Arabidopsis thaliana: one gene and its partner. The protein of the gene in region 2 interacts with the protein of the main gene of each other region in a pairwise test. Each region holds a gene or a part of one and is shown on either strand. Other genes may lie near its edges. The genes, in order: AT5G66830 and AT1G53760.

Evidence for each region.
Region 1: the proteins of AT1G53760 (region 2) and AT5G66830 interact in a protein complementation assay, tested with the Arabidopsis thaliana proteins (one large-scale study listed by BioGRID).

The regions. Positions count from the first base shown.
Region 1 is NC_003076.8:26,689,588-26,693,448, reverse strand, and holds AT5G66830 (F-box protein (DUF295)), read right to left. Parts: upstream 2,197-3,861; 5' UTR 2,146-2,196; coding exon 961-2,145; 3' UTR 760-960; downstream 1-759. Other genes in the region: AT5G66840 (SAP domain-containing protein), read left to right, coding at 1-527; AT5G66820 (uncharacterized protein), read right to left, coding at 2,339-3,830.
Region 2 is NC_003070.9:20,069,223-20,073,146, forward strand, and holds the start of AT1G53760 (K+-H+ exchange-like protein), read right to left. Parts: upstream 1,950-3,924; 5' UTR 1,697-1,949; coding exon 1,502-1,696; intron 1,186-1,501; coding exon 1,121-1,185; intron 1,017-1,120; coding exon 918-1,016; intron 781-917; coding exon 733-780; intron 616-732; coding exon 546-615; intron 445-545; coding exon 373-444; intron 293-372; coding exon 164-292; intron 78-163; coding exon 1-77. Other genes in the region: AT1G53770 (O-fucosyltransferase family protein), read right to left, coding at 2,238-2,414, 2,497-2,807, 3,073-3,100, 3,197-3,924.

The DNA of each region.
Region 1 (3,861 bases), on a different chromosome or scaffold from region 2:
CTTATCATTCCTATACTTATTCAGAACAACAAAACCAAACAAACCAACGACCACCACCTGCCTCCTATACTTATTCAACACAACAAAACCAAACAAACCAAAGACCACCACCTGCCTCCTATACTTATCCAACACAGCAAAACCAAACAAACCAAAGACCACCACCAGCTTTCTACATCAGAAGAACTGCCTCTAATGCTCCGCAGGGACAAGCATCATTCAACCCACATGTCAATACACACACTGTGCCGGTTACTCATCAGAGGAGACCATACCAGAACCCCCATGTCAGCTCGAACAGTGGCTACAACCTGGGAGTGAGGGACTTGGAACACTTCTCGCATATGATGATAAGCCACAGAAGAGAAGGAGACACATACAGGCAGAGTGAGGTCACTCAAGGGCCATACATGAACCATCAGACCTACCATTCCAACTTCAATAGTAGCTACAACCATGGGGCAAGGGACTTGTACATGGTAAACAACAGAAGAGAAGGAGACAATCACAGACCAAATTATCGATAACACACCGTACCTCGTGAGTAATATCTTTCATCATCATACAAACTTGGTACTTGTCTCTTTTGCAAGTAAACTTACTTCAACACAATTTCCAGGTTCTAAGGCCATAGGAAAGCGTCCTGATCATCGGTTCTCAACCCTTGTCTGTGATTCGTAAGAAAGTTTTCTAGGCTCATGATTCTCTTGATCATCCGTTTCTCTTTTTTTTTTTTTTTTTTTTTTTTTTTTTTTTTTTACGGGTGTGATTTTTTGCCTTCACTCTCATCTTGAGGGTCCGAGACCGTCCTCAAAAGTTATTACCTTGTAATCAAGGATGGTGTTCTTGGCTTAATTATTACTCTATATGGCAAGTATCGTTTGTTGGCTTTATTCTTTATTACTAAATGTTGCAATACTTGATATGAAGAATACGTAGATACATTAAAAAAAAGACAAATTACTGAAGGAAGTATGATTCTCGTTTGAAACATGGCAAGAACCATCGGGCTCTAGAGCGGGGAAAGGAAGAGGAAACAGATCGGTGCGGTTGTTCAACGGTGTTGGAATCGAGGTCGAATATGAAGATTTCGTTTTCGTCATATTGATCTTTAAAATAAGGAGTAGGATTGGAGAAGTAGATGGAATTGGCCTTGATCCCTTGCATGTCCTTGGCGAGCACTGTGATACCCAAATCCAAAAGAATTGTCTCGTCTCCCAGAGAAACAGTTTTCTCCCACTTGTTGTTGTTCCCTTCCATCTTGTAGATTTCAAAGCTCCATATCTTGGACAGACTCGGACGATGGCACTTAACAATTAAGACATGTCCGGCTAGAGTGACTACCATATCATCCTTGAAGTGATTCAACTGGTCCTTCATTGGAATTCCAGGAAGTCTCATTCTCATGGAAATACATAGTGGATTATTTAACAACTTACTTACGCTAGTTTTGAAAACTTTGACCGGAATATCTCCAGAGAAATCGAAGACCTTGAGTTTATAATTGCTCAGACAGTAAAGTTTGTGATCCTTAAAAACCATGCTAAAACACTCTTCGATACCTGACAAGGTTGGGATTTGTTTCCACGAGGAATCTCCTTTCTTGAAAGAAATGGCTAATTCTTCATGAGCCATTCCAATAACTAGGTGATCTTTGCTTTTCTCATCGGTCCATAATATCGGACATGTGAGTCCAAACTCTGGTTGGAGAATCGGTAGATTGATTCTCTCGCGGGTTAGAAGATCAAGAATATAGAGATTATTACATTGATGGTCTAAGTCTTCTTCCATGTATTCTGATTCAGGTTGCATCAAAAGCCAGCTTCCATAACTGGCGATACAAGAGCTCTTTGCGAAATCGTTGCCGAGATTTGGAGTTTTGTACATCTTGTCTTCCTCTTCAGGATTGAACAAGAGACAGTGATTGTTGTCCTTGGGGAATCGAATCATCCAAGGGATTTGATTGTTTGGCTGAGAATTTCTCGAAACTGAAAGCCAAGATGAACAAACGGATTTTGCACGTTGGAAATCGGCAAAACCAAGGCGGTCAAATACAAATTGCATGAGATCTGAAGGAAGCTTCGACCAGCACCAATCGAGATTTCTTCTCTGATCCGGTGGACCAGGGAGTAGCGGAGAGGCCATAGGACGGAATCTTAACCAAGCCCTTCAAGTTTATAAAGACGTCGAAACTTGTCTACGTGACATTCATTATTTAGGTTTGACGTTGCTTGTGTTTATATCTCACTAATGGAATGGCTTGGTGGCTGCTCAGAAAGCCCATTGGGCCTTGCATTATTATATAAAATATTTTTGTTTTTCATTCTTTATTTCTTTGTTAGCCCCATTGGTTACAGAAACTTACAAACCTGGTGTGAGAGTCTGCTAACAAGTTCTGAGGACCCTTAACAAAGAAACTCTCACACTCCTCTCCATCAAAACCTGAGCTTTTACCTTCTCTCACTTCCTTTAACTTATCCATCAAATTAAGCCCTGTCAAGTGATCTCCCCAGATATCATAGTACCTATACTCTTTCGCTTTCTCTTCTTTCACTTCGGTTCTTGATTTCGCTCCAGGTGCTCTCACATTTGGAGCCAGTGAGCTTCGTTGTATGATCATTGACTTAACCCCTGAAACCGGAAACGTTGCTGAGTGCGATAGGACCGGTTTAGTAGGAGGCTTTACTAGCTTCGTTGCGGCTTGAGTAGTAGGTGGTTCTGGTGATATTGGAGACCTAGGAGTTGAGTTTCCGCTGTAACTGCTTGAAACATCTGTGCACTCTGGTGTTAATCCGTTGATTCCTCCTTTCTTCTTTTTCTTGTTACGGCGCCTCTTCTTGTCTTTCGCTGTCTTTACAGTGAGATTCACAGCTTCTGATGCTTCTTCTTCGTGTGAAGAAGCAACTGGCTTAACGCTGCTGCTGTTCTTGGGAACCTCATCGAACACTTGCAGGCTTTCTTTGCTTATGGATCTTAGCAGAGAATCCATTTCAGGGGATATTGTGATCGTAGATGGTTTCTCAACTTCTCTCGACTCCATGTGGTTGCTATTGTTTCTCTTGTTGTTCTCCTCGATGAAGTGATCATTGAAGCAAAATATCAGAATGAGTAGAGCTGCAGCAATAAGAACCGCAATTGCGAATTTCTTCGTCCGCACCCAAAAGACCGGTTTTTTGTAGAGACTAAGCATCAAAACAGGTGCGGTCGCCTTCATAGGTACTGCAAAAACAGCAACTCCAGATGCCCAAGAGAGTTCACTCTGGTAGAAAAAGAGAAACTTTATGGAATCCCCTGGTTCTAATGAAAATCCTTCACATGGATGGTTCACCATAAAACCATTTCCTCCACATTGTTTTCCTGAAACCGTAATACTTAACTCCCTTGTGGTCTTCTTAGTATAGAGCTCTTTGGACATAGGCTCGTAACAAGTGTCTCCAATGTGAAAGAATCCAGTAAATGGCTGAAACTCTATGATGTGGACAGGCTTCAGAGATAGCCACACAACACCAGATAGATTTTTTCTGATCAGAGCAGAGCTACTCCGTGATTCTTTGGGACAAGCCAACACAAATGGATCAGACCGATTCTCTGATCCTAAAGCTGAAAGGAAACAAAACAGCTGTGAACTAGGACAAACATTCTGGTCAGATTTCTGGATTGCTACACTCCCAGAATCTTCACCATTAATAAAGCCCTGAAACTCCATAGCAGCAGAACCAGTGTTGTAACCATATTCAGCTAAGTTATGCAATGTATTGACTGATGAAAGCAATAGACATGAGAGAAGGAGAAGACAATGAAACGCCTTTGATGAACCAAATGCTCCTCCTCTGTTAACACATAAACACAAACACATAAGAG
Region 2 (3,924 bases):
ATTATGGTCGCCTCGTCGAGTCCTTCCTCGCTAGCTTCACGAATTAGCTGATATAACTCTTCCGATGGAAGCAAAATCTGTTTATGAGTAAACAAAGACAATTAAGAACCAAAAAAAAAAACTTTTGATTTGAGTATCTTTGATGACAAATAGATCAGCTTACACAAGTGGGAGATTGAGATTTTTGTTCCGGCTTGGTGTTGCTGTTCTTGCTTTCATCTGCATCATCAGTTGAGTCTGGTTTATCAGGATTTGCCTCGTTTGAGATGAGCTTAAGCAGCTTCTCACTTCCCTGAAGTGTCAATAAAGATGATTTCGGGTTTATATAAACCTCTAGATAATGGAAGTATGTATCGAGAAGTTATGACAGACCTGAAGAGCCCGCCAGTGAGAATATGTGCGGAATAAGACCCAGAAGAATGGTATGTTTGGTAATGGCAATACCTAATTGGAAAGAACAAAAGGGTTTGGTGGTTATGAGATTCGATGAAAATAAACGAGTTAGTTGCTAAGGTTCTTGAGGGCTAGCTTCATACTATACATACCATAAATGCACTGGTCAATGGAAGCAAAGTAACTGAACCAACTAGGTACTTCTTGTGCAGGATTGTTCCACTGCAAATCCAATTAGAAAACATAAGTGTTAGAAGGAACAGGGATTCTGAATCTATTACACGTGAAATCGGATATAAAGTTTCATCATTTGAGACAACGGGTAGCAAAGTGATTTACCTCATGGCAATGTGCCGTAGTCTCCTGCGTACGAGTCTAGGATCTAAACTGAAAACATTTGACATGGATTAGCTAAAACGATAACCAATCCAAATTCACCAGAATATATACTCATGAAGACATTCATAAGAGAGATACTTATCCTCAAGTTTACAGAATTTCAAGAAAAGGAGAGTAAATAGAACCTCGGAGGATAAGTGACTTGTACAGAAGTGACCTCCTTAGATATAGACTTCAAGAAAATCTCAGAAGGCTTAACACGAGCCAGAAGCTTCAATCCAAACCTATACATTCCAACCACAACTTGACATTAATAAGCCTATCAACAAACAAAGACCAAAGCCTCAAGAAATGTCTCAAAATACAAAAAGGTAGAGATTTTACAAACCCATGAATCTTGTTCTTTATTGATCCATCAGGCGCTTTCTCAAGACCCACCCAAGCTTTATTCATCTAACCATTACAACAACAACAACAACATTTCTTCAAACTTAGTATTGGAGAAATCAAGGAGGAAGACTGATTAAAAAAAGCCATTCTTTTATCTCATTTCTAGTGGTCCTAAATGAGGTTCGTTGTCAAAAACCTTTAATCAGAAACAGAACCAAAAGCTTATTCATTGGTCGAAATGTTATACACCCAATAAATCTCACTAGACGCCACATAAACACACGGGTATGAATTCTATAAAGAGAAAAAAGTTTCAGACGCCACATAGAGACACGGGTATGAATTCTATAGAGAGAACAAAATTTCAATGTAATTTTACCTTGTCAGAGATGAAATCGACGAGAAGCTCTGCGTTGGCATTGATGGGTTTCGATTCAGATGATATCTTCTTCCATAAACCTCGTACAGTGGTCGGAGTAACACCAGACGGTGATTGAGCAGCGAAAGGGTCAACAGATCTGCTGAAACACCATTTCTTCCCTTTGATCGGAAAAACCACCAATCTCGCTCTCATGATCACTTAACTACGAAAAAGCTCCGATCTTTAGTTATGAAATGTCAATTTGTCATCTGGGTATTGCTTTAAACGACGTGGGTTTCGTATATTCAAAGGAAAAATCGAAACTTTAAGGTAACGAGACCGACAAAGCCTAAAATATTTCACGAGGAAAGACGAAAAGAAGCGGCGGCGCGTCTCTTGGCATATATGGACAAGTTTTTATATATAAGGGTCTTTGAAATCGACTTAAAATTTTGGTATAACAAAGGTTGTCTCTTTAAAAGGCAGTAATGACAAATGGTGTACTATTTGCAATCATGTCAAATGGTTAATGACAGATTAGAAGGCAGTAATAACAAATGGTTAGTACTATTTGCTATAACTGAAGCAATGATAAACTGACACATCACTAATCTCAGATTATATTAGAAGAAACTGTAGCATGGCTTTTACTGTATGATATACACTAGTAAACTATGCACATAAAGAAGAAGACAATTAGGCTGTTTTGTGATGAGAACTCACAAGACAGAGACTAATTTACGTGTTAATCTTTTTATTCATGATCTGCTATAAAATTAGGCTGCTCGTTTGCGCAGAGATACTCATCGCATTCTGAAGCGGTTCCCCAATCTTTTCTGAGTCTTAAGATATCCTCTGTAAAAGTTGAGCCCGAGGCACCAATGAACACGCTTGACAATGCGCATATCGTCTTATCCAACATTGCTTCCACCTTTAAAATAAGATAATGCCATGTATCATTTTGTTGGCATATGTATCAATTCATTCAATACGAAGGAGGAAAGAAAACACACCTGTGAGTCGCCCTCGAGACCATGTCTGTATAACAATGCATCCCATTTCTCAGCTGAATCACGAGCTGGTCGTTTCACAAGGGGGACAGTCTTTCCATTCAGTATCAACAGTGATTGTAGCAGACCAGTTTCGCTTTCGGCTGCATCAGTAGAAAGGTATAAAACCGGTGCCTCGACCTTCTCAATCAGACGAGTGATGCAGCTAGCAGCTTGAGGAATGGGGAAAAAGCAACTTGGATTCTTGGCATTACTGGCACACCAAGAAAATTTCTTAGCTAAGGTTCCTGATTTAATCTTCGTAATGAAATGAACTGAGCTACACCAAAAGCTACTATGAAAATTAAAAACAATCCATCTTACACACCATATAGAAAAGAAGCAATTACACACCATATTCTTCGTACAAGTGATATAAACTCATAATGCTCATACTTATTCATAAATGATAACTTGGTCAATGGAATTCGCCTAAGCTAGTTAGATGTGCAACTCCAATTATCTATTCACAAAAGTACAGCCGCAATTCTAAATGGTTACTATACCAATACTGCTATTATCTGATCAAGATTAAGATACCTACATTGTCATCAAATGTAGAGTGTAGCTATGCGCAAAGTTCTTTACCATTATACAAGAGAACTTAGAAGAGTGAAGGTCAAGCATAAAATTCTCACTTTCAGTTACCATCTACGGCTACTACCAGAGAAGTAGAAAATAGATCATACCAAAACTTCAAGAATCCATGCCTGCGGAAATGAAGAGCAATGTAGTTCTTGCCAAGGAAAGTCTGGATAAATCTCTGTGCAGTGAGTAAAATAAGCCGGTTTGGTTCAATCAAAGTTCTGCACTTGTGAGCAACAGGACCACCAGGCTGCATCACCCACTCTCTCTCAACATTAGCATAGAACACATCCCCAATCGCAATAACATCGTCATCTGATCTAAAATTAGCCTCCACTTCCTCAGCTGTCTTGTTGCTTGGCCTCGCAATATCTTCTTCCCATGGTGTGTCTAGCTTCCCTCCAACAGTGATCCCCAAAGCTTTCAACTTTGTAATATGCTCTTTATCTACATAACACGGTTCCGGTTTCGAGAAGTAACATATGAATCTATTAATATGAACATGATGATGCTTCTTCCTATTCTTATCCTTCTTCCAAAACTCCTCAAAAGAAACCACAACAGTCCTTCCCAAACAAGTATTGATTCGATCAATATCGATGATTCTACTGTAATGATAATCAAATCTATGACTAGGGATCACAAGAACACGTTTCAGCAATGCTGCAAAGAACATATGCTTCTCCAAGCAAATCAAGTGGTTACTCATTTGACCAGACAAACAAATGGCGAATAGAAACTTATCCGGCCTCGGCTTCCATTGAATCGTCTTCCTCCCATTCAACTTCTGATCCACTTTCCGGCAAC